Struthio camelus: one gene and its partners. The protein of the gene in region 3 purifies or fractionates together with the protein of the main gene of each other region. This does not show direct contact. Links are inferred from orthologs where the notes say so. Each region holds a gene or a part of one and is shown on either strand. Other genes may lie near its edges. The genes, in order: PPFIA1, TIPRL, PPP2CA and INTS2.

Region 1 (7,426 bases), on a different chromosome or scaffold from region 3:
CCTAACTACACACTACTGTCCTATATAATACTTTTAGTAGCACAGGCTGTATGTTAGTTTACTGCCTTCCTGGTAGAAAGCTCCTCCAGAAGCTAATCATTAGTAACTCCTATCAAACACAAATCCATACTCCTAAAAGGCACTAAGCGAGGTAACCAAAACGCTCAGATTTCTGTACTGCCACGGCAACACAGCACGTATTCACAAGGTAGCAGTCTTAAACTTCCCAGTTTTTGAATCTAAGTCCATAACAGTATCAGAATGGTTTGCTTTCTCTCCAACAGCTTATATGTAATCCTTGAGCATATGAATGAATAAGGCAGATAGAAACTGCATTTAAAAAAAAAATTACGAGAGTGGTAGAAGAAAGTCCAACAAGTTCTATTACACAAAAGGATGTAGATACACCTTAACGTTCAAGCTGCCCCTAAGCCAAAGAAACACCAAAAACCAGGAAAGCATACAGGAGGGAAAGGGCTGGTCTTTGGTTGGTCTCTACTTTTGCATGTCTCAAAGTAAGCAACAACAAATACCTTCAGGAAAATACTAGGCTAGATTGATCTTCCCCTGACATAACCTGACTTTTAAGTAAATTGAATAAAGAAAAAAACAAAAACAAAATGACACAGAAAAAAATTATCACCAGATACCCTCCTTTGAAAATGTCCATACCTGTGGAAGTGCAGTATTGAGCTGTCTCTGCAAGGAATCTCTCTCATGACCAACTTCATGTAGCTTGCCCTGGGTCAACGCTAGCGTCTCCTGAGTTTCTCTTAGCGTTTCCAGAAGGCGATCCCTTTCTTCCAACATGGACACCATTAACTGCTCAAAATGGGAATCAGCATCTGACTGTAACGGGGAACCTGAACCATGGCCTCCATTTCCCCCAGAGGGAATCTCTGCCTCACTGATGGTTGGCATCACCTCACACATCATCTTGAAATAAAACAAGAGAAATAAAAACCATAAGTCTCAGTCAAACAAATCTAAACATGATAAGCAAAGGAACTTGGGATACTACCCATAACACCAATTTAGCTTTCCCAATGATAGCATCAGCAAAGGTTGCCAACACCTTTGTGCTTGCCACTGTTTCATTAAGACTGCAGGAGAAAAGGTATACAACCAATTTAATCACTTTATAATGAGAATCTTGTGACTTCTTGCAAAATCAGATTTCTACAGCTACATTTCAAACTATGATCTCATTTTAACAGATTTATATTTTTGTTAAGAGGAAACTGTTGCTGAGGTCTTTGAAAAAGAAAGATAAAGCAAGCAGCAAGACACAAAAATTATATACTTAAACTTGTTACTGATTATATTGCATATTTTGAGAATCATTATCTGTCTTCTCCAACTCCTACCATACACAAAGAAGGTATTCTAAACAACTACTTTGAGCTTATGCTAGGAGCAGAACCTCTATGGTAAATTTGATGCATGTAAATTAACAGTAAATCCAGATTCTCCAATTCAAGAGAGAAACATGTAAAAGAAGATAAAAGCCCTCAACAGTAATAAAATAATAAGAGAAAGTAAGATGTCGTTATTAAGTGGTACCAGCTGTCACTGTTGATAACAACAGTAAATGTAAGTGAAAATAATTGAAGTCACAGTATGAACACAGTTAACAGTACAAATTTAATTACATTACTACTGTTAAACTGGATGGATGCTTTAAAGACCCCAAGCAGATCACCACAGGAGACAGAAACTTTTTAAAAAGCATAGGAAAAAAAATCACACATGTGATTACTGCACATTCTCACTGAACCTTCTGAAGGTCCTGAAGACCTCTGAAGGTCTCCAGACAGCCTCTCTCAACAACACAAACCTACGAGACCCTAAAACAGATAAGAAAAAAGTTCTCTCACATCCTCCCAGGTACCATAACGTTTGTTCTCAGCCTTTAAGTTCACATTGATATCTGCACATTTTAAAGAACAATTAAACTTATTCAGAGCATTACCGTGGGACTACACCTCTGAATCTCTTGAAAAACTTCAAAAAGTCTGAAATGCTGCAACATTTTTATGCATGATTACCAAAAGGCCTGTATTTTCGACACCACTACGTTATTTACCTTGTTCAATGAAATAAAAAGGCTTGGAAAACAGGCGTCAAGTTTCCTGCAGTACCAGTTTTTCTGTTTTTAGTCTTCTGTTATCCCCCAAAACTTTTCAGATTGCAAACTATCCATTCAGCTCTAGCCCAACGTCTATGTAATTGAAATACTCCATACACACGAAAATGAATAAACCTGCGGGGCAAAGAGCTGATCCAGTAAAAAGCAGCAGCAACTTCAGCTAACTACTCAAGTCCCCAGAACAGAGAACGTGAAAATAAACCTTTTCAGCTTCCCATCTCTCTATTACTGGCCCATAGTTCCTGCAACAGCTGGAATCACGTGCAGAGAAAAAAAAATACTCTATGCCGCTGGTGCAACAAGCTTCAATAGTTCATTGCTCTGAAATTCCACTCAGGTCACAGTCACTTTATTGAACAGAAAAAGGACAGGACGGAACAACGACTTGAGTTTTCTTGCAAAGGATTTGGAAAAGCCTCCTTTTTTTCCTCCTCTATTAATTCCAACAGGAGGCTCTCCTTTCAGTTTCCTGGGCCTTAGCTCAAACATTTATAATCCCAAAAGCGAGGAGCTGATACCGGTTTGAAAGGCGAGCAGAAGGGAGACTCGCAGCTTCGCCTGCATTACTCCTCCAGCCGCTTTACAGGCGCACTCTGGCCCCGGCCAGTCCCACCGACGATGCTGCGGAATTTCGATATCCAGCCGAGAGGGATGAAAGAAACCAGCCGGGAAACGGAGGCAGGCGGCGCAGGAGGCGGCAGGGCCCAGGAGCCACGGGCAAAACCGGCAGCTCAAGGCCGGCTCTCGACGCCTCTCTGCCCTGCGGAGGCCCCGGCAAACAAAGATGCACCGAGACGGCGAGACAGGGCTCCCTGCTCCCGCGGGAGCGCCGCGCCGCGCCGGGCCTCCCTGCGCGGCGGCGCAGCCCCGCTCCGCGGCAGCCCGCGCAGGGCCGGCTCGGGCCGCCGCAGCGGCGAGCGCGGCCGCGGAGGCCCCGCGCCCAGCGGGGCCCTCGCTAGGGAGCGGCGGGGCCGCGCGCGTCGCCGCGAGCCGGGCCCGGCTCCGCCCGCCGCCACCTCCGCGGCCGCGGCGGCCGGCGAAGGGCTGGCCGAGACCGGCTGGTGCCGCTGCTCCGCGGCGGCGGCCTGCGTCCGCCGGTGCCGCTGCGGCCTCAGGGGGCGGCGCAGGCCCCGCGCGCTCCGAGCGCCCCTTCACGGCCGCCAGCCGGACCCCGAGCCCGACCCGCCGCCGGCCGCGCCAGCCCCGGCCGCCGCCGCCAGCCCCCGCGCCGCCGCCGCCTCCCGCTTCTCCCGGCGCCCTCTGCGGTCCTGCATAAATTACTCCGGGGCCCACAATGCCCCGCGCGGGGGTCGGGCGCGCCTACCTTCCCGCCCCTGCCGTCGTCCGTGGCCGCGGGTTCGAGCCCCGCTCCCCCCCGGTGCCCTGCCAGCGATGCTCCCGCCGCCCGCGGCTGTCAACCCGCGAGGAGGGCCGGGCCGGGCCGCGCCGCGCCGCGCCGCGCCGCCCGCCTCCGCGCAGGGAGGCACGCTCGCTGAGGCCTCAGCAGCAAGGGCGCCCGGCGCTCAAGGGCGCTGTGTGTGCCAGTGTTGCCCCGTAATTACACGCGGGGACGGCTGGCGAAGCCTCCTTCCTCGGGCTCTGCGTGTCCCGGCACGGCCCTGCCAGGCAGGTCTGCCCGCTCCTGGCAGCGGCCACGCAGCCCGCGGCGGGCATCGCCCACTCCCTCCGCCTTGGCCTCAGCCTTGGCCGCAGCCAGGCCCCGGGCCTGGGCCTGGGCCTACCCCCCCGAGCCACAGCCGGGCCCCTCGGCCTGCGCTCTCCACCTTCATTCAAAAAAATTAGCTAGCGCTCACACAGCTATGGGGTGATGGTTTTAACCAATAATCCTGTATGACTAAGGGCTCTGGCATGAGTAAAGGGGCTAGAGGAGGAACGGCCTGTATGGGTCTCCTGTCCGCGCAAAGCGGCAGATGAAACGGCGCGAGGAGCTTTCTCCCACCACCGTTGGTACGACGTTTGCGCGCGGTCCCAGGGGCTGGTCCCGGCTAGGAAGGTTTAACCTGTGGGGCAGGACTAGGAGAAAAGCAGGTGAGCCGCGCTGGCCGAGCCTGTAGCACCGACACAGTTACACCAGCGAAAGGGGGTTTCACTGGTACAGCTTACTCCCCACAGGAAATGGGGTTTGGCTACACTGACAAAAGAGCCTCCCCCGCCCCGCTCCCCCAGTTTAAAACTGTTTCCAAACAGCATATAAATACTTTCCGCTTGCACGTACATAGCTTTCACTCTGTTCCAGGTTCATCATGTTTGTAAGGCTTTTTCACACAACGCAGTAGGGTTTTAATCTGTACGCAAAGCTTAGAAAAGTACTCTCTGTACCCTTTGTAAAAAGTTTGTGTTACTACTTTAAAGCGTCACTGAATAAAGCATTTGCATTTTAGACCCCGTTCTTTCTTTTATAAATGCAAAGCTCCAATAAGCGTCAGGGGCCGGTTACACAGTTGCAGGTCATGCAAAAAAATAACAGTCCCTGAACTGAAGCTCATGCAGTTTTATGACTGAGTTATGTGACACCTAATTTGTAAACACAACGTAGAGGCACCTAGAACTGACTAGAGTTATTAATAAGTCACTCTTCCTTCCCCCAGGCAGGAAAACCTTTACAATTATGAACTTAATACATTGTGCTCTGTATTTGCCTTTGGTATTTGAGCCCTAGGGTGAATTCAGATCAGATTTTTAAGTTTTTTCTCTAGAACCATGAGATCTAGATTTTTTTTTTCTCTTGAAGTGTCTGATGTAATCACATGACTCCGGAAGCCAGGACTTTAAGGAAAAAGCCAAATATTAGGAGGCACATTCAAATCATGAGTTCTACCAAATACTGGCTAGCAGAGATTCAATGCCAAATAATACACATCTGAACTGTAATTGTATAAAATACCGAGATCTGACTTTTCAATACAGAAACAGTAGCAAAAAAGTTAAAATCAATTGTGTCATTCCGGAGGAAAGCCCCCTAATGATATGGAATGACCTGTGTTGTCAAATAGTCTCAATACAGCGCAGTGCTATTCCTTATAAGATTGGATATATTTATGCTGATATATTATATGCTTATTAGCTTTGATTTTAACATAACCTTAAAGTGATCGTAGGACAGGTGGAAGGAAGAGGCTTCCGGGCTTCAACCTGTTATTTTGCCCACACTGAGGCTTTCTTTCACATAATTGATATGTAGAACTAGCGACAGAATTTGGGCCGTGGTTATGAAGAACAGCAACAGATTTCTGAGGTAAAATAAAGGTAATTACTTAGTGCTTAAGACTAGGCCCAGAAGATTACCTTGAAAATAATCGGCTCTTTTATTTCTAAGCACATTTCTACAGAGCCTGCTTCTATTTCATTGTCCCAAATGCTCTGTTTGTCTTTGCATTAGTAAAATCATCTCCTATAACTCCTATGCAATTCATGGACAAGTATATTGCTTATACTGTAAGTCCTGATTTTGTTTGCTTTTTTAAAGAAAACAAAAATGCTCTGCTAACTGGATCGTCTCTTTGAAAAGTTAAGCAAAGCACTGGTAAGAATATTTAAATTCTTTCTACGTACGTGAAAAACTAACACATTTTTCTGAGCACAGTCAGAAACACGTGGAAGAGTCGGGGAGTGATTTCCCTAAATCTCAGACTAGGAGTTTGGACTATTTTTCCCTTCCTCTATAATGCAATATTCAAGAAGAAAATACAAAGGAATAAGTAAGTCAAATTTTTATCAGTCTGATAAAGTGATACCTAAAAAACTGGATAGCAATAAGTTAAAAAAATCAAATAAATTCCTTTTCCTCATTATTAAAAAATAAACAAAAACTATGGTAATTTTCTGGAAGATTAAAACTTTTTGCTCTACTGTCTTCATTTTGTACTGCAAGTCTAGTATCAAAGTGATAGCCTTGCTTAATTTTTAGTAGAAAGCCCTCAATATTGAAAATTAGTGATTCCATTGTGAAATCATTTATGAATAATAGCCAAGGGACCAGCTTTTTAAATAATGCCCCACAGGCCATTAGTCTTTTCATCTGTAGTTGCAGAGCAGCCATTTCAGAAATTATGTCCACTGATCTACTCTCGAGTTCAAACAGTTTCTAGATTTCATGCTTACACTTGCATGAAAATTTTCTTTGAACCACAGAAGAACATTTCATGTTAATTCTGAGGGGAGGAAAAACACATTTTACAAACACGCTAGTGGAGTGATAAACTATTGCTAAAAAGATCTCATTTTCCTGTCATTCTCCAAATGTTACTAGATACGGACCCGTACTGTTGGACAATTGTGCCTGAACTATTGCATGGTGAATAATGGAACTATTAAATATAACTGTCATGCAGGCATAACACTTAAAGTATGTTAAATTAAGTTACCATCAACTGATTTTGATAGGTATTTCGTAGGCTTCTTTATTACCAGAAAGGCAAAGCTGTTCCCCTGATAACAAGCAGAGTAGGATTTCATCCAGGCCAAAGCTACAATTGCTTCAATTAATTCAGAAATTTAGCTGTTCAGAAGGGAACAATTTGTAGGATTGGGATCATAATTATTTGTGGAAAAGAAACCAAAAAATTGCAGTACCTGCGAATTTCAGAAGATTTTCCAGTATTTTGGGGAATCTTGTTGCTACTAATTGCCAGCTAAATGAACAGTTCCAGCAGAGTGGCAGATATCCACATTTCAGAGTCAGCCGAGGCAATTGGTTCCCAGTGCTGAAGCCTGCTGCATTCCAGGGTCGCTGCTGGGTACTAAGACTACAGCTATAGACAGTTATCCATGACAGCCATGATGCTTATCACATTGCTCCTAAGTTTTGCAGAGTAGCACAGTCTCTTATTCCCCATAGCTTCTCCTTTTTAACCTCTCCCCCCATCCCTCCCACATCATATTACCCAGTAAGACACACAACACAAAGCACGTCCCTCACTTCTGACCCATAACATGACACTGTGCTGCACTGCGGACCTCGTATGCTGTACCTAAGCTGAGATCTGAATTTTTGTACCCTGTGAATATGTTCCTCTTACGGGTCAGCTGCGGCAGTGAGGGCAGCGGAGCCATGAGATGCCTTTACTGATAAGGAACTGCCGTTATTTTATCTTCATCCTTTGAGAGTCAGAGTTCAAATGGGCTTAGACTCTTTGACCTGGCTCTGCCTGACAAACGTTGCAACTCCGGCCGTCCTTCCCGATCACAACGCAGGTGGACAGTGCGTGCCAAAATCCCCGTCTTTTGTCATGACTACATTTGTCATACCAGTTCTGT
Region 2 (7,239 bases), on a different chromosome or scaffold from region 3:
CTGGCTGAGCTGATCAGCATGTAGAGCAGTGCTGAAAAGTTGCACCAAACAACTCCAAAGATCCATTCCCGCCTGATGGAGCTGGTGACAACAAAAGGTAGTACCAGTACAGAGAGGAGAAAGTTGGAGAGGGTCAGGCTGAACACAAACTTGTTGCTCAAAGTGAGAAGGTAAGACTTCCGGTAGAGGGTGACGACAATCACCAGGTTGCCCAAACAGATGAAAATGGCAATGACAATTATAGCAATAGACTCGGTGACTCTGACAGCCCCGTTTTCCAGCGTGGTAAGGTTCCTCAGGCCCTTCACATTGATGAGGGAGGAGTTGCTGCTCATTGTCAGAGCGCGCAGAGCTGGAGCAGCCAAGACATGCTGAGGAGCTAGAAGCAGAACAACAACACTCAGAGACATTCAGGCAAGATTTCCTCACCTCCTCTCCAAAGATCAAGGGCTCTTTTACTCGCATTAATTAAACTTTACCTGTAGGAGACAGCAAATCGTTTTGGATGGGAAAACAAAGGGGCAGGAAATTGCCCATAGGCACGCCAAAGAGGTCAATGATAGAGTTAAATCTAGAAGAGGGGAGAAACTGTCTGAAAGACAGAAAGAGTTGGATGGAGAGGGACGGAGGAAGGAAGAAATAAAGAAGAAAATTAAAACATTTAATATTTTTGTAGGGATCTTACTTGCTTCTAAGCACTGATCAGCCATACTTACCAGCTGTACATCTCACTCAGTCCCTTCATCTAGGCTGTGAAGAAACAGGAAGAATGTAACAATTAGTCTTTGTTTCTCTCAATTTTAAAAAAGTCTTTTTTTTTCCTGTCTGCTTATCCCGACATTGCATTCTGCCTAGGTAGCAACTGCTATTCAGTGGTCTGTGGATGCCTGGCTAGTCATACCCTGCTGACTCTTAACGGTTGCTAGGTAACATTCAAAGAATCTGGGAGCACTGCAACATATTCTCCTAATGTCACTTCTCCATGTACATAATCACCTTAGCTACCACAGTGATCACTGCTCAACACCCATCCCCCTGCCTCATAACCTCAGTTTTGTGAGAGCTCAGTATTCCCCCCGGTTCTGCAGCAGCCTTCTGCCTGCTGTCTACCACAAGCATTCCTAATAGCTTAATTCAATCTTTCACCCATCTGCAGACCAGCACACTGAAAAAACACCAAAAATGCATGTGTGCAAACCGAACAACCAAAAAAAGCGTGCAACAAATAAAACGAAGTTCATCTTAACATTTCTTGGAAATCAGCGGCCCACTGAGGGTATCTCGGCTTTGCCCATCCATTGTTCCCAAATCACCAGGAGTACTGAAGAACCTCTTCCATCCGTGAGGTTGTTATGGCCTTAAGCAACACTGTCAGGCTGCAGAGATGTATTTTTTTCAATTTTTATCTGTGCCTTCCTAAGAGCCTAATTGAAGACACTACTGAGCCACGCTTCGTAAAATCTAGCTTAACTCTTCTCTAGTGAAACTGCCGACTGTGCGTAATAGCGTTTCTCTTAAAGTTTATCTTTAAAATATGGCTGCAGCTCACTTGTGAGTCTTTCCAACACCTTTTAAAGAGGCGCGGATTCTAGAAAGGAGGCTATCCGAGAGTGGCCACAGCCTCCAGCAACACCCAGGTCACGCGCTCCTACCCTTCCCCTCAGAGTTGCATCTAATCCTGCTTTACCCAAAGGCGGGGTGGGGGGATGCCCAGCAAACGTGCCCATCAGCCAGGAGGAAACAGTTAAGCAGAACGGCCAAAGGGCCTGGCTCTGTGAGCCCCAGCTCAGACAGGGGCAATTGCTTGGTGGGACAAGCAGGGGCTGGGGCGGGGGGGTGTCTCTTTGCCCAGGGCCAGCACTGCTACCAGTGCCAACCGCACACTGGCCACTGGGCTGGACGGCCGGCCACCGGCTGAACCCCTCTCCGGGAGAGAAAGCAGCAGGGAGCAGGCATGCTGACACACACGCACGACAGAAAGCCAGCGCTGCTTCCCTGATTAAAACCATGTGCGGGGTTGCGGCACCAGCTGGCGAGAAAATGGGGGGGGGGGGGCCGCGCCGAGCGGGGCACTACTTTGTTTAGCGCAGCCCGCCAGGGTTAGGCGAGCAGAGAGCGAGGCAACATCTCCGCGGAGCCCTACCGAGGCGAGGGCCGCCGCCGCGGGGCCCGCGGGATGCCGCAGGGCCGGCAGGCAGGGCAGGTGGCGGGAAGCAGCCCCGACTCCGGGCAGGGCTCCTCACGGCCCCCTCCGCCGCTGCCGGGAGGCTCCGGGAAAAAGCCTCCATTTTACCCCCTCCAACGACAACAACGGGCCGAGGTGGGGAGGGGGAGGGGAAGAGCACCCTCCACCGGGCCGGGCATCCCTCAGCCCGCCTCGTCTCGCCCGCCCCCTCGGCGGAGAGCGGGGTCCCCGCCCCGCTGCCACCGTAACGGCCGCTCCCCTCCCCTCCCCTCCCCTCCCCCCCTCGCCAAACCCCGTAACGGCCGCCGCAACGGCCGCTCCCCGCCCCGTAACGGCCGTTGGCCCGGGCGCGCGCGCCCGCTGCCCGGCAACGCACTCACCGCCCCGCCGTGCCGCGCCCGCCGCCGCCGCCGCCAGGGCGGGACGTTTCGGGTTACAGCGCCCCGGGCCCCCCGCAACCGCCGCCGGCGGGAGAGAGGCCCCGAGTCGCGGCCCGACCCTCCCCCCGCCATGCCCAAGCCCCTGCCTCCTCCCCGCCGCGGCGGCCCCCTCCCTTCGCCTTCCCCTCCCCTCCCGCTCCGCCTCCCTCCATTTTCTCTCTGCCCCCGTCCCTTCTGTCCGGGCTTCCCCGTCACCTTCGGGAGCGCTTCCTCCTCGGCGGACTCTCCCCTCGGCCCCATCCCGCTCTGCGGCTGGGGCCGCAGGCGGCAGCCAGCGGGGCCGCTCTTACCGCCGTAAGCCCCGGTGGGCAGCAGTCTGTGGGCGGGGAGCGCCCGCACCCCGGCCCGTTTGAACACCCACCGTCAGGAGTCGGTTAGACGAGCTGCCTCTCCAAAAACGGGTCGGGTCCGGCTGACCTCAGCTCGTCCCTCCGGCACCACTTGCTCTGAATCAACTGTATCTGCGTTTGGGGAGAGAGCGGCCTTCTAGCAGGGCCGTTTATCTGCTGTGCTGCCTTGGGAAAGCAACACAAATGCCCTGCGAAAGGGGGACAGTTACCAGCTACCGCGCAGGTTGGTCCTAAGGCACTCGAATCAAGTCTGTGCTATGTCAGACCTCTTTACAGCCTTCATCCATTTTATTTAAACCCTCGGAGGTTCAGTCGGAAGGAATCAATTTTTACACAGATCAGCAGATGAAATGACTTGCCCAAGCACACAGAACAAGTAAGTGGCACAAAGGGGGACACGTTCCTAGACTTCCCAGACCATAAGAGACTTTTAAAAGAAATACAGGTGTCTTACCAGGGTAAATTTGGGGGGGGGTGCCTTTTTTCAGGAAGCAAGGCACAGACAGTGCAGCGTAAAGGACCAAGGGTAATTAAATACCATTTTTGTGCATTCCTAAGTCTGAGCTTCTCCAAATCCTGGCAAGGCCGTTAGTGCTCCACTGTGACTGCTCTGACTAAGTCACAGCTTTGCTGTGTAATTTAGAACTTTTTGTGGCTCTGTTAATTTAGAACAGATAATAGTTCTTAGATAGATATAGTTCTTTGCATTACATGTGGCATGTTGCCATGGCTGTTCTCTTGGCTTGCCATGACTCTACGGTCTTCCAAAAGACCAAGTAGGACTATCATTCATGCTCACATGCTACAGCAATTTCCTGGGGAGTTAGTCTGTCCTTTTGATGACACACAAACACAACATGAGCATCCAGCCATCCACGCTGAAACGATAGAAGATTTTAATCCGCTCTGTCACTCCTTTCCTACAGGATTTTAGGTTCACAATACTATCATATTTTGTTTGACGTTCTTTAAAGATCATCTTTGGACTGCAATCAGGAGCAGCTCAACCCAGCGCAGGAGACTGCAGGCGTACGTACGTATGTAACACACACAAAACGCAAGGTGTGCGTCTGCAGCAGCAAAAGACAACTAGTGACGTTTCAGTCGGCGGCTGAAGCTGGGCTTCGCGGGACGCTTACCTGAGCTCGCTGCCCGCCCGCGCCTAACCATCTGCCCGGCTGCACTCCGCAGCCACCCGCCGCCCCCCGGCGGCGATGCAGGTCCCCGCGAGCACGGGGCGAAGCTCCCGCCCCCGTCATGGCGCCCAGCCCACTGTCACGTGACACCCCACCCCTCCCCGCCTGCAGCGCCTTCCGGGGCTGCGCGCGCAGCAGCCCGGAACCGGAAGTTGACGGAGGTGTTAGCGGCGTCGTTACCGTTAGTGGCGTCCGGCTGGAGTGGAGCCGTCGCCTCCTCCGTCCCCGGCTGCCTTCTCCTCGGCGGGGCCACATCTCCCCCACCCACCCCCCCCCGCTGCCGCCATGCACCCCGTTTTCCAGAGCAGCCGCCGTGACTTCACTTTCGGGCCCTGGAAGCTGAGCGCTGCCCAGACGCACATCATGAAGTCAGCGCAGGCCGAGAGGTGAGGCGGGCCGGGGCGGCGGGGAGCCCGCCGGGACCTCGCTCCCCGCAGGCGAGGCGCTTGCGGAGCTGTGGCCTAGGAGATAAATAATGCTCCTTTGACGGGGGAAGGCGGGCCTTTGCTCCCACCAGCAACTCCTTCTTTTTTTTTTTTTTTCCTTCGTTTTCTCTCCTTCTGCCAGTGTAAGCTTGCTGTTTTGGCTGGAGAAGTGGGAATGGTTTGGTTTTCAAATCTGACGGTTTTCAGGTTTTCTGTTTTGTTTTGTTGTGATTGCTAGCGCCGTTCTGTTGGAAATCTGGGTTTTTGTGAGCTGAAGCCTGCTGCCTATAAGCTTATTTTCCTTAGTTGCTTTTTAAGAATAATTAAGGACCCTTTAAATGCAGCCCATAGATTTTCATAAGCTATTTTATGCTAATGGCTTTTTAAAGATAGTGAATTTCATTAAAAATTAACTGTTCGCCCTCTTAGTGTGGTAGTTATTTCAGTTGTGGTAAAGCAGTTGGAAAAATGCTCCTGTCAGCATCAAGTACTTGAAGTCAGATTTGCTAATGTAGATCTGAACAGCTCAGCTATTTAGAGTCATAGCTGAGCTTACGGGCAGCTGAATTCGTCAGATCCTTCTTTGTTTCTGTTTTTGTGATAAATATATGGAGATTCTTTTAATCTTGTTAAATGTGTTTTGGTTCATGCTCATGTTTTCTGAGGTTAGGACTGTTTGCTAAAGTCTAATCTCCTGAAGCTTTACACTTTTTTACATAAAACAGCAATGTATTCACGTTTTTGTTTTAAGTGGATATGTGCCTCGAAACAGATAAAAATGACATTCCTTTCTTCATCTTTATCCTATACTTAGTGGATAAAATAATCTTCACTGAATGCTTTTAACTAATGATATTGTAGTTCTTGTAGTTAAATGAGAGGAAGCTTGAATCTTATGTTTTAGTCATTCTCCCGTAAAGAGGACTCGACATCCAGTTAAGCTATAGCTAGGCTCTATTTTTACAGTAGCTCCTATTTTTCAGATATGTTTGTGAAGACTTCTCTTGCAAGATGCTAGGTCTTAAAAATTAAGATCTATGCTCTTACATTGAGGAGGATGTTAACTGGTCATTGTCTCTAAACTAGAGTTAGAACTGAGCTGCCAATCTAGAAGCCAGATTATCTACTGTACTCCTCTTCTGAACTGTTCAGTTTCTTTTACTGTAGCTGTTTTAAAATAAACAGTTATGTCAGTAACTTTTTTTTTTCCTGCAGCAGTTCTCTTCGTTCTTTTCAATGTTTTTCTGGGACACTTTGATTTTTCAGAATGTATTCATAAAGGCAAAAAAGTAAAGATGGAAAAGTCACAAGACAGAAATAACAGAAAAGACTTTGCAGGCTAGGGAATATAAATCCAACATTAGCTGTTTGCATGCGGACCTTGGAACTTGGCCTGAGAGCTCAGAAAACAAACAGTTCCTCTGCCTCAAATCTGAAGAGACACTGCCACTACCCGGTTGCAGTGTTTCTAATCGGTTTCCTTTTGTAATGTAATTTCTTTTAGTGTTTTTCCTTGCTTTTTATTACTTAGAGAACATAGTTATTATCTATAGGAGTTTCATTTCTAGTAAACGTGTGTCACAAAAAAGGCTGAGCAACATCTATAGAAAGGTGAAGGATTAAATACGCCATAGCTGCAGAACCCCTTCGTGTCCTAGACTTGGTTTTTGCAGATCAAAGGGGCTGCACTGGATGAAATGGAAAGTTAGTAATTTTATGCTGCCTTCTCTGGGAAAACGAGACCTGCCTTCTGCAGGTCTACGAATCTGCTATTTTTACTTCAGATTGGTCAGCGTGATGTTCTTTTGTATGCAGTGGTACAGAAATAACACTTTTATGCAGAATGCTTTATTATTTATCATTAGGAAAGTTGTGAGATGGAATTTTTTTAATCCTCGTATTTAGATGCGTTTCCTAAAGTTTTCTTTTCTTCAGATTTCATGTTCTTTTTAACCTTGCAGTGAGTAAAGTAGGTAGAGGAGGGGAGGAAATGCTAGAAGTGCATGAAGCCTTCTGGTGAATGCGGTCAGTGTAGATATCAAGTGGCAGGTATGTATACATAAGAGTAAAAACTGATTTAAAAAAAAAAAAGTGAAACGGGTTGGTTTGGGATTTTCTGCAAGGATCACGTGTACTCTGTATAGTACTCTGTTTAGCTGGGTCTGTGGCTATGTGGCTGTGGCTTTCACGTTTAGAGGTTGCCAGTGCCAGTACATATTCTCTATGAGCTCGGGAAGGTAGTGATTCGAGCACGGTAATATCTTCTGCACTTCATCTCTAATGTATTCTGCTAGGGTTGTTTTCAGCCTCTTTTTGTAGGCTTCTAAAGATGGAGGCATGGACCACTGTGTAGCGAATTTCAACTTGCTTTTTCCTTAAACTTCTTTTCGGGCACCAGCCAAAGTAAGTAATGGACTGTCCAGGGTTTTCTCCCCTGGTTGAAAGCTGTTAAATTATACTACTTGGATATTTTTGATTTCCCCACGTGTGGGGCTTTTGTACAGGACTGACAAAGAGGGAAAGATTTAGGAATACTTTTATATTGGAAAAGGCATTTCTGATCAGTGGTTCTGCAATGCACGTCACGTTTTTAAATGGGGAAAATAACAAAGTTTTGTACAACGTATTGATGATACTGCTTTC
Region 3 (7,699 bases):
CCTCTGGTTTGGAGATGGCTCAAATCCACCCACCTGGAGGTAAAACAAGCTTGCTTCTACCTGCAAAATATCATTTAAATATACCTCATACACCCTTGTGATCTCTCATCTTAGAGGACAACAGCAGTTGCACAGATAACTTTCTGTAACCTTTCCTTTTATCCACGTATGCAATTCCCACAAATCTAGTCACTTTAACATTCATTCTTTTTTTTCCAGCCTAACTAAAGGCTTCCTTACAGTCTAAGCATCTGACTCGATGTCTCGAGTCTATCAGAAATACTTCAGGTTAGGCCCTTTTTCCTACCTGATGTCAATAATTTATTTTGGTGACAAGCATTATGTATTTATCTAGAAATACACTTGATTTCCATTCTTCACCGGGAAAAATAAAAACTCAGCCTGTTCTCTTCGCTCAACAATGATGAATAGTATTTTTTGTTGGGAATTTCAAATACTATGCCTTTCCTCATCTACCCAAAGCCCCCAGTAAATTTGAAGCTTTTTGCAGATGCCTCATGCTTCTGCAAGTTATTATACAATCTTACAAAAAATACCCACTAAACCAGCGTTCAGGAACCTGTATCAGCATCAGCTTATAACTAGTGGTAAACGGAATACTTGCCTCTTGAAAAACCAGCATGAGGAAGAAATCAGACCACGATCCTCAAGAGGAAAGTGAAAAATAATTAGACATCTATATTGCTACTTATTTGCAACACAATTTAAAATACACAAACTGTATCTAAGGGTAACAATTTTAAGTAGTTGGAATATTAGTCAACTAAAATTTGGACTCAAGTAAGAACCTGCCTGCTCAAAAAAAGTAAGTTCTTCAATAAGTTTATAGACTGCCTTCCGGAAATAATTTGCATCTAAAACAGCATGCTACAGTATGTGAAGATGCAATGCCAAATTTGAAATATTTTCATTACTTCTCACAGCTGGTACACAGGCTTTAGAATAGAGTACATCAATGACTTGCCATATTCCTTAACTTCTAGCTCCCAAAGAGCCCACAAATATTACTTCCTTCTATCTAGAAATATATGAACACATAAAACCTCCGGTAACTGAAAAGAGTCTTCAGCTATTAAGTTTTAATTACATTCAGGATTAAAATTCTATTGGAAAATGCAGTTTGATGAAACTAGAACAGATTTTTCCTTTAATTTCCATTCCTAGAACGAAACCTATTTTTACTCAAAGCTGTATTAAGTGTTTCCACATACCCAAAAGACCTACTTATTCACACCTGGCCAAGAACATGGCCTGGCAGCAATCAAAAAAACAACGCTGGAAGAGATAGGTAACGTCTTTTTTTAGAGCAGAGGGTATTACTGGAGAAACAAACAGGCTTTCATGCATGGGAAACCCTCCTTCAGGTCCACAGTCAAATTCATCAAGCACAACACACGACAACAACTCTTTTAAATAAAGATCAAAATAAATAACAGCTGCCGACACCTGATGTTAGCTTATAAGTTTTCAGTAAATAGAAAAAGCAATTACAAGTGCATCTGTCATCACAGTTTCATCAATTTATGAACGCTTATACAAGCAAGTACTTAATTTACCCACTTTGTCAAAGGGGGATTTATCCTGGGCTGATTTTAGGACCCCTCTAAGTTACAAGCACACCAATGAACCCTGTCTTCTAACACCCAAATCTCAATGTTTTTATCAGTCACCACAAAAATAAATAGCTACACGTGATCGGAACCGCCTGTTCTGTGCATTTCACAGAGCCCAGAATTTTCTTCAGAGAAACCACGTCCCGAAGCTGAACTACCCTTCCATTACAGTTATAGATGAGCCTGTGCTTATTCATATCAAAAAAAAACCCGAAGCCTTACGTCCAAGCGGCAGCTTTTACCCCCTGTAATTACAAACCGACTACCCTAAGCTTTATTCCCATCGGGATAACCCACGCTTCTCCGGCCCGCTTGGCGAGGTTGAACTGTGTCACGGGGGCCGGCTGCGCCGATTCTCCCCGCGTTACGGAGCGGCGGGCGGGAAGCCGCCTCCGTCCCCGTTTCCCGCCCGGGTGGCGGGATGGCGGCCGCCCTCGGGGGGTCTCTCGCCCAGCATCCCGGCGGCGGCGGCGCCATTTTAGGAGGCGATGAAAAGGCGGGAGGCGGAGCCAGTCTCCGAGCGGAGCGAGAGGGGGCGCAGATCCGCCCGCCCAGCGCCCCCGACCCGCTTATCCTCCGCACGAGGGTCGCGCTCCGGCCGGGCGCTCCGGAGCTGCCCGCAGGCGCCGGCCCGCTGCCCCGCTCCCCCTTCCCCGCCGGGCGAGCCGCGTCCCGCCCGCAACCCCCCCCCCCCCCCCACGCCGCCTACTCGGCGGAGTAGCGCCACCCCCGCCCGGCAGCACCTACTCCGGCCGCCCCGGCCCCGCCTTGGCGCAGAGGCTCGCCCCCCCCCCCGCTCTCCCCCCACCGCCTGCCCACAGCCGCCGGCGGGGACCGGCGTCGCCCCCCGCCGCCTCTCACCTTCTCGCAGAGGCTCTTCACCTGCCCCTCGGAGAGCTGCTTGCACTCGTTGAGCTGCTCCACCCACTGGTCGAGCTCCTTGGTGAAGACCTTCTCCTCCATCCCGCAGCACGCCCGCTCGCCGCCGCCGCCGCCGCCTCCTCCTCCTCCTCCTCCTCCTGCCGCACCGCCTCGGAGGCCCCCGCGACCGGCTCCGAACAGCGGCGGCGGCTACGACCCGGCAGGACGCGCAGAGGGTGCGGGAGCGGCCCGAAGCGCTGCGAGTCCCGCGGCCGGAGCGGGGCTCTCCGCAGCAGCAGCTCTGCCGCTCGCTCCCTCGCACCAGACCGTGTAATGGCCGCCGCTCCTGACGTCACCGCCTCGGCTTCCACTCCGGGGAGGGGGAGGGAGACGCCAGGGGAGGCCACGGCCCATGCGCAGCAGCCGGGCGGGACCGCGCATGCGCGCTGCCGCCGGCCGGCTAGGAGCCGACAGACCGGCGGGACGGCGGCGGCGCCGAGGCGCATCTGCGCTTGCGCAGCTCCGCGCGGCAGGAAACAAAGGGGGCGGGGAGGTGCCGGCACTTGCGCTCTGCGAGCGAGGGCGGGCGGGAGAGCGGGAGAAGAGGGGCTGCTGGCGCATGCGCGGGACGGGCCGGCGGGGCGGGGTCTTTCCCGCCTGCCCGTTGTGTGAGGCGTGGCGGCCGCTCGGAGTCGTCTGGGCTGGTGGCGGAGCGTGAGGGAGCGGCGGTGCCTGCCGGTGCCCGGCTCGCCGCCTCAGTGCGGGTCCCCCGAGGGGGGGAGGGAGGCCGGTTGGCCGTTCGTCCCCGGCGGCGGCTCGCAGCCTCGAGGCTGCTGGAAGTCCGCCGGGGAGAGGGGCTGCGCGGCTGTAATCGAGTCCTCTCTCTCCACAGGGCTTCTCCGCGCTGCCCTGGGCAGCCCTCAGCACTCGGGCTGCGGCGCTCCGGCAGCGGACAAGCGGGGCGCGCTTGCTGGCGTTAGGTACTTAGCGATAAATATTTCAGTTTAAAAATAAACGTTAAATAGCAGGCCGGATTTGCCACCGGGCAGTGCTTTGATGGAAAAGGCATCGCCGAAGCTATGTTGCGTTTCTTTCCTTTAGAACACTTCATGCTAAAGAGCTTTGGGAAAATTAATGAGGTTAGGACCGCTTGTTAGAGAGACGTGAGTGAAGTGGAAAATAAGTTTTCAGCAGAATACAGGAAACTAGTGTTGGACCTTAAGGTTAATCTTTGTAGTGTACATGGACACTTTTTGTCTTAAGGAAAAGACAGCAGTAAGATAAATCATATACAAGTAACATACACTAAAAAGGAATGAAAGTAACAAGTTCTATAATAAGTGGTAAAATATATTTTGTGCTGTAATCTGCGTCTTTAATAACTGCAGTCCCAATTACTGCAAGATTTTTCCAAAATAACTCTCATAAGACATGAAAAGGTCACTACACAAATCTGATCGTCACCTAATTGAATGGATCAAAGTTCAGACAAAATGTCCCCTTTGAAATTGTCAGGCTGACAAAGCCTGTTTCCAGCTGATAAGTGTTAAATGTCTCAGTCAGAGATTGCCTCATACAGAGTCTAAACTTAAATTCCTAGCCTGCTATTGAAGCAAACGAACAACTAGTAAGAGGAAAAGAATGCATGTTTCCACGTGACAGCCTCCGTTTCTTGTCAGAATTACCTCACAGACAGGGCTCTCAGACAAGTCCAAGTCAAACTCGTGTGTTGTGTTTGCTAATGTGGGCAAAAACATTTTACAAAATGTTCAGGCATTTTTCCATAGGTTTGCCTCTTCAAATGCCCTTAGTTTTGTACTGTAGAATGAAAAGCTATAGAATGAAAGCGTTGTTCATTGGAAAATGATAGGTTGCAAGAATTTACTTTGTAGCGCATCTTTTGTTAATATGCAAAAAATAATTTTGAACAAATAAATGCAAAGAAAATAAATCAGTAACGTTATTTTCTGTGTAACTTGCCAAGTTAAAATTCATTTTCTCTAATAACTGTTGGCCTTCTGGAATGGTAAAATGTCTTAACACTATATTTTGTATATTTAGCTCTGTATTTTCCGCTGAGATCAGTGGAATTCTTGGGGGAACTTCAGTAGCACACATCTCTCTGTATTCCTGTTAGTGACAATCTTGCAATTAGTTATGCTTCTGCCTACAAAATTCTTCTACTTACTATTTAAAAAAAAAAACATAACACATAGAAATATGCAAGTATTTACTTTCAACCACATCCACAATATTCTAGGGTTTCTGTGAAAGAGAAGAGAAAGCATTACTCCCTCTGAACAAATTCAGAAGCCAAGGGCAAGACGAAAATGGGAGAATACGTATGGTGCACGGGTAGCGAGATTGAAGTGTTTGTGAACTAGCTGTAGCAGGGTCTGAAAAAGCAGTAAAATATCTGTTAACCTCAATTACTCTTTAATGTATTATTAAACAATTGCTTACCTATAGCCATTGTAGCAGAAATGAAGCTAATGAATTCACAGATTAAATTTTGTGATGATGTTGCATAGTTTGAGGACATCTGCTAGGATGCCCTCAAACCAGACAGATAAGACTAGGATCATGGTGAAGTAGAAAGGCAATGTGAAATGAGAGTAAGTGAAAAGCAGCAGAGATTCTTCTTGAGAAATCAGTGCTTTATATCTCCGAGAATCATTTGGACATACCATTGATATAATTTGCACTAACACAGATTGTTTTAGCATGCTTCCTTTTTGCTATATCTGCGTTTACACGTTCCCAAAACGTTATAGTACAGAACACCTTAAAGATGCTGTTATGCAGTGCTTAGCTAGCTGAATATTCTACTATTGAAAGCTTCTTAATTTCCTTCTGCAGTTATGCAGATTAGCATGGTTATGCCATTGCTGCATGAGCATGACTGTCTGTACATGCAGGCCTCCAATGCTTAAACACTCTCTTTTTCCTGTTTCATTTGTTTTGTTCAAGATAGGTGTTTCCAATGTTTTGTTCTCCATCAATTCATGTAGTTTTGATGTTTGTTGAATACTCTCCAGCTGTGTGCTAGCCAGCATGGCTGACATGTATAACATAAGGCCAGTAAGCGCTCAGCTTCTGAATAGGAATATACTTTTGTACCCAGTTCCTGTGGGGAAATCAAGGCATACGGAGTTGAAGGATCTAAAACATTCCTGCTCAAAGGAGCTGCAGAGAAGAAACAAGTATTTAGCGGCTGTCCAACCAGGAGATGTTTAAACTCTTTTTAAGTAGGCACCCTAGCCTACTCGGTCACTTTAAGTTGACAGAGGATGGCACTGATACTAAAGGTGGCAGTCTCATGTCTATGCTATCCTGTCTTATTACCATCCCAGTCTGTTACCAGCAAAAAAAAAGATCAAAAACCTGATCTAGTTGAAAGCTGCATCTTTATCCTTGCCTGCTTCATTATATAGCCACATAAATGTTTCAGGTGGCATGAGGAAGTGATGCACGGGGTCAGGAATCATAGAGAAGTTTAATCTGGAAGAAACCACCGGAGGTCATTAGTCCAGCCTTTAGCTGGAAGCAGGGCCTTGGGTTAGGTTATCCAGGGATATGCCGACTAAGTCTTACATATCTCTAGCGGAGGAGATTCTGCAGCTACTGTGGATTTCTCAAACCACAGCCTCAGAAGTGCAAAAATGGAAAGATCCTTTCCCTGCAGCTTTTTGCGCCGACTATAGCTCTTGGACCGTCTGAGTGTGATTGATCAATGTGGTGGATAGTTGATCTAGCCTCAAAGGGTATAATCAGTGCCAATTTTAGCACCCAAAAAACAAGAGGCGGGGGAGGTAGGGCTGCATTGTCAGGAGCAGGCTCTGCTTCTGGACTAGGAAAGATGGGTGAGAGAGGAGAAATGAAACTTCCGCAGCAGGAAACTGTTAACCTGGTTTGCTTGCGCAACTACAGCCAAAGTCCTGTAAGGTTTTATCTGATAGGTGTGGGGAAAGCACAGCTAATGCGTAGATTAGGCAGGGCTCCTGACAGATTGCGGTAATGGTCACTGCTGTCCTTTTAAAGGAAACGTGATGGTTCCCACACCTACCTTCGTTTCACAGTACCCTAGTATTAGAGTGCTTAACTGAGAAATGAGCTTTTTTTGGTTTGAAAAGATTCAAAAGCCATAGCTCTTAACTACTAGAATAAATGCTACTTTAGAAGGGATGGGGGAATCATCATCACTCCCTGCTTGCTGCTGAAACCATGCTGTTGACCAGAACAGAATTCAAGACTCGGCAAAGGAACAGTCAGGATTCAGTAGCTTGGTTATTTGGACACTCACACAGGAGGGGGAAATTTTGGTTCCCATCTCCATCCCAAACAATTACTTCTGTATTTTATCCTCATATTGTTTCACATCTATAAACTTGGATCAGAGGTCAGAGCTCATAACTTCCCCCTACTCGAGAGCCACAATCAATAGTTTAGAGAATTGTGGTTCCTTTTCTTTCTCAGATAGTTGTCTGAACCTTTAAAGGAGGTGAAATAATGGTAAAAGAATACTTGTTGTGTTGCATAAGTTGGGGATTTGTCAGTATGTCAGAGATATAATAAGATTAAACCATAAGTTGTGAGATGACAATAATAATAGTTAGTATTTAATATGTGACTATATGCCAGGCTTTTGTGAGCGTGATACGTAACTAAGGAGGTCTGGGTGTGGTTGCCATGAGTCAAGTATTGTCCTTACCGCTGTACACAATCTTAACACTTGAGTCAGTGACAGGTGTTTCGTATTTGTGGCATTCTTGGAAAAGAGTAACTAATCAAGCTGATTACACTTACATTTACAGATACCAAGTTGGTAGGTTATGCAGCTTCTTTGCAAAGCAATCCTTAATGCTAACAAACTCCAGTGTTTTGAAATGAATCTGAAACTCACTGACTGTGTATTAGCAATTGTAGTAATTTTATCAGTTATGGCAGTAGCGCTAACGTTTCCCATGTAGTAAAAGAGGCGTCAGTGAGCATTTAAACTATACAGATTCCTGATTTCAGGCATCATATGACTAAGTAAATGCCGTATTGTTTAACCACTGTAGAGTAAGGAATGCTTAAATTGGTTTTCTTATATTTATGTCTGTAAATATCTTACTAGTTCTAAATTGTCTATCAGTGCATGTCTGAAGTGCCTGTTGCTATGGCGTTTCGATGCTAAATACGGAATTAAAAAGCTATACTAT
Region 4 (7,072 bases), on a different chromosome or scaffold from region 3:
CAGACAAGTTACAGCAGCTTACAAAAATAGTTTTTGAAAGCGAATATTCAAAAGCGTACCTACCTGTTGGCCATTTCGGATAAAAGTTCCAAACCAAGTCCGAACCTTAGCATTTGTTCCAAGTAGCAAACCACTCACAAAACACACCAGATCGCTCACTCCATCATCTGAAGATTCATTTTTGGTGTGATCCAGGGTCAAAGCAACACCAAGACCTGGTAGATGACACTCTTCCACCTAGACAAAATAGCCGAGCTCAATCTTTTTTTTTTGTTTTTTAATGCTCCAATAAGGATCACAATTATGATTTGCGTGTTGTCTCGTGATAGAACAATTACAGACTTACCACCATGCCTCTGACCCTTAAAGCTTGGGAAGGGTTCATTTTACACAGGTGACGAAGTGCTTCTGTTCTACGACGGCCTCCAACACTTTCCTCATCCTGCCGCTCGCCGTTCTTAATCAAACCTCTACAGACTAAACATTCGAGAGGAGGTCTAAGTAAATCTGGCCTTTCCAGCAGAAAGCCACGTAAACATATAAACACAAGACGAGCCCTTTCATTCAGCGGACTGTGATTTATTAACTGAGCCACACGAACCTTGTGCCAGGGAAGAACTGTTGATCAACGCTGTATCAGTAGAATAAGGAAACGGTGTTTCTCCTCAGAGAAATTATAGGGTCATTACAGATTTAGGCATCATTCAATTACTGCTCATACTCTGTCTAACGCAACCTGTGCACCTGGCAGCCCTGCAGACTGAAGTCTTCTTGCTACATAAGTGATAATAAATGGGCAACGGCAGTATGAATTTTTCACCTCATAACATGCCTCGCTCTGAGAGACAAGGACAATTAGCAAGGACAGACCAGGTTCCTAGACCCAATCATTCACTGTCTGAATCAGCCTTTATAAAGGTGACCTACAGATGAAAAACTGCAACAGGCACACAATGAGTCTGAAGTACGCTGCAGAAATAGGTAGTGAATGCGATGAGAACGAGAGGCCTTTCAGCATCTCTAAGTATAAATGCATCCAAAGTGCATTTCACAAGCCAAGCGCTCCTCAGTTCAAATATTTATGCTGCTTAGCCTAGAATCAATTTGATTGCTGGAAATTATTTCAAAGCTTTACAAAAAGAAAGCTTGGCAAGAAGAAACTGTAACTCACCCTCGTTAAAACTATCGGGAACATTGGCCACTAGGAGGCACAGGAACCAGGCTCCATTTTTAACGTGCAACAGAGCTTCAGCTACATCAACTATGGGCAACAGCGATGGCAGCTCTGGATAAAAAGAGGATCTCATAAGTCACTGTAAAACAGTAGCTTTTAATATAAATTTATGTAACGTGCTCAAGTTAACGAATGAAAGATTACTCTTTGGTCTATTCCTCTTCCAAAGAGCTAGACATCCAACATTAATCTTAATTCAGCTAGGAGAGCTCCAAAAGTTAGGGTAATTTTTTTTTTACGTTTGTAAGTAGCGAAGTCACAAGCAAAACAGCATTAAGGAAAGCACTATAAATACAGAGCACTACACCTGCTTGCAGAATGCAGAGAACATCTGCTGCTTCCTCCAGATAGACAGGACTCTCGAAGAGCTCGGACGATTTGAGAAAAAACTCACCGTTTGATTCTGACACCTATAAGACAACGTTCATCATCACAGAACAGGTTTCATGAAGTGATTTGTATAACTCAATCAGCACCTGTCAGACTTTCAGAGCTTTGAATTCAACAGATTGAACGTATTAAAAACTGTCAAAAATGTACAGCTATAAACAGAACAGGCAAGCAAAAATGCTTAGAACAAGCAATATTTACTAGTAAAGATAATTAAACACCGCTGGTATCGTTGCTTCTTTCCGGAAAACAGAAAAACAGCTTACTAAGAAGTCTATAAACAGGGTAAGTTTAACAGAAGAACATAAAACACAGAGAAAAGTGAGAAACGTGGTGGTGCATATTACTGCAATAGCAGTAAAAAAAAAAAAAAAAAGGACAGAAGGAAAAGCTACAACATCATCCTGAAACATGATTTCTGCTCTTATAAGCCATCGCATTGTATTTAAGTGCAGCATGTTATAGAACGTACAGAGCCTGTTAAGAAAAGATTGCCCTCCTTGCCGGGAGGAAGAAAGACTTTCTCTGGGAAGCTGGGTTCACGAGGAGTTTACGTGACAGAGTTTAAGTCTCGGCGAAGCAGCTACGGACCGGAGAACGGCCCTGACACGCACCGGCAGCACCAGCAACGCAACCTGGCGTTATTTCAGCACATCCCGCCTGCAGCTTTCTGGTTCTTCGCTTTCAGGGATATAAAATTCACAAACGCCGAGCGACGGGGAAGCGAAATTTTACCTTATTCATAATTGCTAGTAATTCACTAAGCACAAGACGAAGCCGACGAGGCGAATCACTGTGCTCAAACTCCAGCGTCAGACCGTGCTGGAGCTGCGACACCAAGACGCTCTCTCCACTGCCTCCTCCCAGCTTGTGTCTAACAGACAACGGAAACGCAACGACAACCGTTAAAGAACAAACAAACGAGCCCGACGAGCACAGACACCTCCTCAGCTAAAGGCAGACCGCAATTCCCGGGGCAGCGCCCGCCGCGCCGTTACCGCAGCTGCTGCTCCTTGCTGGCGTCCTGCTCCAGGGCGTGGAAGTCCACCGAGAGCAAGGCCACGATGGAGTTGACGGCCTCCACGCCCGAGAGGAGCCGCAGGATGAGCTTCTTGTCCTGCGCCCAGCGCTGGCTCTGGTCGGCGGGGGCGCACAGCGCCATGCGCACCAGGCAGGGCAGCAGCAGCCGCAGCTCGGGGTCGCTCAGCGCCGCCAGCCGCACCACGTCCACCTTCTGCATGGCCTCGAAGGCGTAGGGGCTCACGAACTGCAGGCCGGAGCACTCCGCCATGGCGGCGCCCGGCCCCGCGGCGGCGACCGGCCACGCTCCACGGCCGCCGGCCACCGCCGCCTTCCGGCGCGCGCCGCCCGCGTCACCGCCGGAAGTGAGGTCGGCCCCGCGGCGGGCGGCCGTTGGGCGGCCGGGTGCGCGCGCGCGCGCCGCCGGCGGGAAGGCCGCTCTGAAGGGAGGGGGGAGGGGACGGCGCCCCCCCCCTCCCCCGGACGTCTGCTCGGCCCCCGCCGTAAATAAAGAGACAGCGCAAGCAAGGCTTCATGAATAATTTATTCCATTTGAAATTTTTTTTTAAAAAGTATAAACCTTTTCTCTCTCTCTCTCTCTCTCTCCATTTCCTCAATCACAATTTGTACAACTCAGCGTTTATGGCATTCGGCAGCAATAGCGTTTGTTCCTCAGTCACGTTTTGTCACGATAAAGGCGACGGCTCGGACCAGTAACCGTCAGCGCCGTGTGCGAACTTAAGAAGGGCCCCGGTAACGCGACCCGGCTGCGGGGGGGCGCGTCCAGGACCGAGGCGACAGGCTGCAGCCGGCTCCGCCAGCTCCTGACATCCAGTTTACTCGGGAACAGCGAGAGCTAGACGAGTAACTTCCTGAAAAGTGACCCTGAGGATTATGGTAGGTCCCAAATCCAGTTTTGCTGTAAATTTAAGTTTTACTCCGCTAAAAAAACAGGATGTACAGCGCCCACAGCGCCCCCACCACTCTTCCTCCCCCCACACCACCACCCCGGAATAGTCCTGGATCCTTTTAATTAAGGACAAAAAAAACCTTCCCCAGTGCAGGTTGTCAAGACAGTAGTGTCATACGCTATCACCTAATTCAGAAAACAAATTCTCAAAAGAAACCCAGTCCAAACATTGTTTATGCAGCATTACTATTAAAACAGACTGATATGCTGTGCCATACCGTTACGCAGCAAATTATATGATGCAATAGCATTTTAAAAACATTTTACTCTTATTTTTGAAAGCTTTAAAATAGTGTAACATATTTTGATATTACAGTATTAACAAATAGTGCTTGAATAAAGACATCTGCAAGTCTTCATAGCAACACATGAAGTTAAAAATTACCATAGGAGGTAAATACAGAAATACAGTAACCTGCGCCATACTGACAGCTAAGTAAGAACATAGCTGAGGATTTAAATATAAATTCATTTATTTTTACTTATTTCCGGAAACGTTAGGAAGATTAACATGTTACAGCTACTTTAAAATTTGAGGGTTGTTTGCAAGTACAGTTGGTGGCCTGCCAGTCTAGCAACAATGCTTACAGAAACCTAATTCAAATAACAGTATAAGTCACAGTCCAGATGACTGCATGGCTTAAGCACAGTATAACTAAATTAAAATACTTTTTTTTTTTTTTTTTTAAATCTGAACTGAAGGATCTCAGATGCATCTTTCACTGGCTATCTAACATACGTAAGTAGCTGTATAAGTTTATTTCCTCTTAATAGAGCACTGCCAGGAACAATGTTTTCTTGCAAAACCATTTTGAGAAGCTAGGGCTGAAATGTTCAAATACATTAAGCTTGTACTTGCTAAACAACCCTAATTATTGGATTGTGACAATTTTATTCATAAATCACTAATTATGTGCCCTTAAAAGAGGAAAATGGCTAAGTGAATGAAACCAACAAAAAAGCACGCCCAATGTAGTAGCTGGCTCCATGGGGATGGCAGTTTTGATATGCACATTGCTGGCTGTGACCATCACTTCCAAAAATGGCCCTCCTGATCTTTTCTAGTGGTTACAATATGACAGTTTACTTAAACTGCATTTGGGGACATGGGGAGGGGGGAGGGGAGAGGCAGACTTCACAGTTGGAGTTTCACAGGGAAGGTTGTGGTCCAGATAACAGAGTACAGTTATACCAATGCTCAGGCAGCCGATTCACTTACCTTTATGGATACAAGTCAGATTTAACAAAACGAAACAAAAAAGACACGTGCTCTGAAAACTCCAGTTTTAGATGCACTTTTCCCCTTAATCTCAGCCAAATGAGAAAGAAAACACCTGCTCTAAAACAGAAGTGTGCTGTTTAATCTGCAGTACATTATCATTATATCAAGAAAAAGTAATGGACAGACCCAGGTTTTTACCTTTAATATCAAAATATGCTGACTTCTGATTGCACTCATGTTTTTTCTGAAGAAACTACTGAAAATTTTTGTCACCAATTGTACAACTTCTTTATACAAAAACAAAAAAAGTCGCTAATTTTGCATATACACAATTCAAGGAAAAATGATCTCAGGCAAATATTTTGCATTTACAAAACATAATTTTCACCAACATAATAAGTTTTGTAAATACAAGTGATTTCTTCGTTGTAGAGGATTAACAGTGGGTGCCCCAATGTATCTTAAAACTTGCTCCTTTCAAGATTTAAGCAGGCAAGATGAACAGTACTGAGACCCAGGTGATAAACTAGCATGGGTTCTCTCAACAGGCTCACGTGGGCACTGCAGGAGTAAGTCTTTACCCTGGCAGTCAGAAGATGAGGAACCAAAGGAAAAAAAAAAAAAATGCTGTTGCTCCTCAGCACCCGTAGGGGCCATTTTAGAGCAGCATCAGACATTTGGCATGTGCTGAGAGAATGGAAGGAAACTACTGAGGAAAAAGGGCGACTGTAGATAGAGGGAGAGGTTTACAAAAGCCTTATAACTCACGAGACCCTTCCTTAGGGAGGGCTAAGCCTCCTTGGCACATGCCCCAGCCGGAGTCTGAAAAGGGGATAAGGGGAAGGCCATGCACTGATACTCGAGACCTTCACCTCCGTGCCAAAATACATGAAAAAGGAAAACATTCAGGGTTGTGTTTTGCTTTTTACTAGTGGAATAAAGTCTGAATACCAGAATTCACTGAGAATCTATATACACCACATTTTAGTTAAACACACACCAATCTTAAAGTCAAGATTGACTATTTTTTTCATTTGTAAAATGGCTAGAGCTGGGCTAAATTTCAGCCTTGCAGGAGACTTTGGATAAGGTCAGAGTTTTCTGTGTCTGTGTGTTCCGACTCAGATTTGTGTTTTGCCACAAACGTGAAAGAAAATAGTGCAGTCACCACGGTGCCAAGAATATCCAGGTAACAACAATGCACAATAGATATCCTTGCAATAGTAAAACTTGTCTACTGGAAACAGATCTGAGAATCTAGCCACAGCCCTGAACCATAACACAAACTTCAGTTGAAGAGTTTATTCATTTTATTCTCACTACAAGTTAAACCACCTACAATATCACTTATATATTGCCATTGTTACTCTGTAAAGGTGTGATATAAAATGCTGTAAGACCCGGTACCTTTTCAATTTTATATAAACACAGTGAACTTCATTACTGTACATGTACTCTGCAACTACAGCTTAGCTGTAAATCCCCCACACACAATGGTATGGACATTAACCCCTCTATCCCCATTAAACTGTACATCAAGACAATACAAATTTACTGTCCCCACCCACCCCCTTACAAAAAAATAATACTCTAAAAGCAACCTACTGCAACTTTTAATTAAGACGATTACATATATTTTAGACCAATTGCTTTAAAGCAAGAAGGCAGTATAAACCTTCTAGGAAAATTTTTATAAAAGAGGTTAAGAAATATAAGACAATTTATACATTTAAAAACTTACAATAAATAAGAGATGCAGGCATTTTTTGAATACTAGGTACTATAATCCAATACAAGAACATCTTGATGTTCTGAAGCCATAGGTTGAAACTTATTGTTCCTCCTGTTTCTTCTCATCTCCATGCTTTAAAATTCATTAACCATGACTGGGTACTATGGCTCATTACTCTTCACAAATACTGTGACTGGGGAAAAATGGTTAATTTTGCTACTAAAAATGTTATAATACACATTCTGATCATCATTCTAAAGAGTCCCCCAGAGTCATTGCATCAAAGACAGTAGGGTTATAGATGCCCTTCTCACAAGCCAAAGCAATATTTGCTGGAAGTAACAAGATTCATACCCCATCACAAACAACTTGCACTGAGAAGAATTTATAACTTAGTCCTGCAGTGAAATATCCCTTTTCCTCATTCTTGTCTTTCAAAATTCAGATGAAGATCACAGCATATTCATGATAAAGTTATACAACTGATTCAGCACCACAAAATGA

What was found.
Region 1: the proteins of PPP2CA (region 3) and PPFIA1 purify together in Homo sapiens (affinity purification with mass spectrometry; 6 studies listed by BioGRID and IntAct, with this or other methods). This does not show direct contact. The link is inferred for Struthio camelus from reciprocal best matches to the Homo sapiens genes PPP2CA and PPFIA1.
Region 2: the proteins of PPP2CA (region 3) and TIPRL purify together in Homo sapiens (co-immunoprecipitation; 4 studies listed by BioGRID and IntAct, with this or other methods). This does not show direct contact. The link is inferred for Struthio camelus from reciprocal best matches to the Homo sapiens genes PPP2CA and TIPRL.
Region 4: the proteins of PPP2CA (region 3) and INTS2 purify together in Homo sapiens (affinity purification with mass spectrometry; 4 studies listed by BioGRID and IntAct, with this or other methods). This does not show direct contact. The link is inferred for Struthio camelus from reciprocal best matches to the Homo sapiens genes PPP2CA and INTS2.

Annotation. Positions count from the first base shown.
Region 1 is NC_090946.1:32,987,623-32,995,048, reverse strand, and holds the start of PPFIA1 (liprin-alpha-1), read right to left. Parts: upstream 3,019-7,426; 5' UTR 2,087-3,018; intron 937-2,086; coding exon 673-936; intron 1-672. UniProt on the Homo sapiens protein: May regulate the disassembly of focal adhesions. May localize receptor-like tyrosine phosphatases type 2A at specific sites on the plasma membrane, possibly regulating their interaction with the extracellular environment and their association with substrates.
Region 2 is NC_090942.1:97,612,417-97,619,655, reverse strand, and holds the start of TIPRL (TIP41-like protein), read left to right. Parts: upstream 1-4,227; 5' UTR 4,228-4,456; coding exon 4,457-4,557; intron 4,558-7,239. Other genes in the region: GPR161 (G-protein coupled receptor 161), read right to left, coding at 1-410. UniProt on the Homo sapiens protein: May be a allosteric regulator of serine/threonine-protein phosphatase 2A (PP2A). Isoform 1 inhibits catalytic activity of the PP2A(D) core complex in vitro. The PP2A(C):TIPRL complex does not show phosphatase activity.
Region 3 is NC_090954.1:3,901,046-3,908,744, forward strand, and holds the start of PPP2CA (serine/threonine-protein phosphatase 2A catalytic subunit alpha isoform), read right to left. Parts: upstream 3,010-7,699; 5' UTR 2,598-3,009; coding exon 2,496-2,597; intron 1-2,495. UniProt on the Homo sapiens protein: Catalytic subunit of protein phosphatase 2A (PP2A), a serine/threonine phosphatase involved in the regulation of a wide variety of enzymes, signal transduction pathways, and cellular events.
Region 4 is NC_090957.1:18,831,627-18,838,698, reverse strand, and holds the start of INTS2 (integrator complex subunit 2), read right to left. Parts: upstream 3,012-7,072; 5' UTR 2,916-3,011; coding exon 2,623-2,915; intron 2,499-2,622; coding exon 2,360-2,498; intron 1,645-2,359; coding exon 1,542-1,644; intron 1,286-1,541; coding exon 1,172-1,285; intron 478-1,171; coding exon 347-477; intron 238-346; coding exon 64-237; intron 1-63. Other genes in the region: MED13 (mediator of RNA polymerase II transcription subunit 13), read right to left, coding at 7,021-7,072. UniProt on the Homo sapiens protein: Component of the integrator complex, a multiprotein complex that terminates RNA polymerase II (Pol II) transcription in the promoter-proximal region of genes.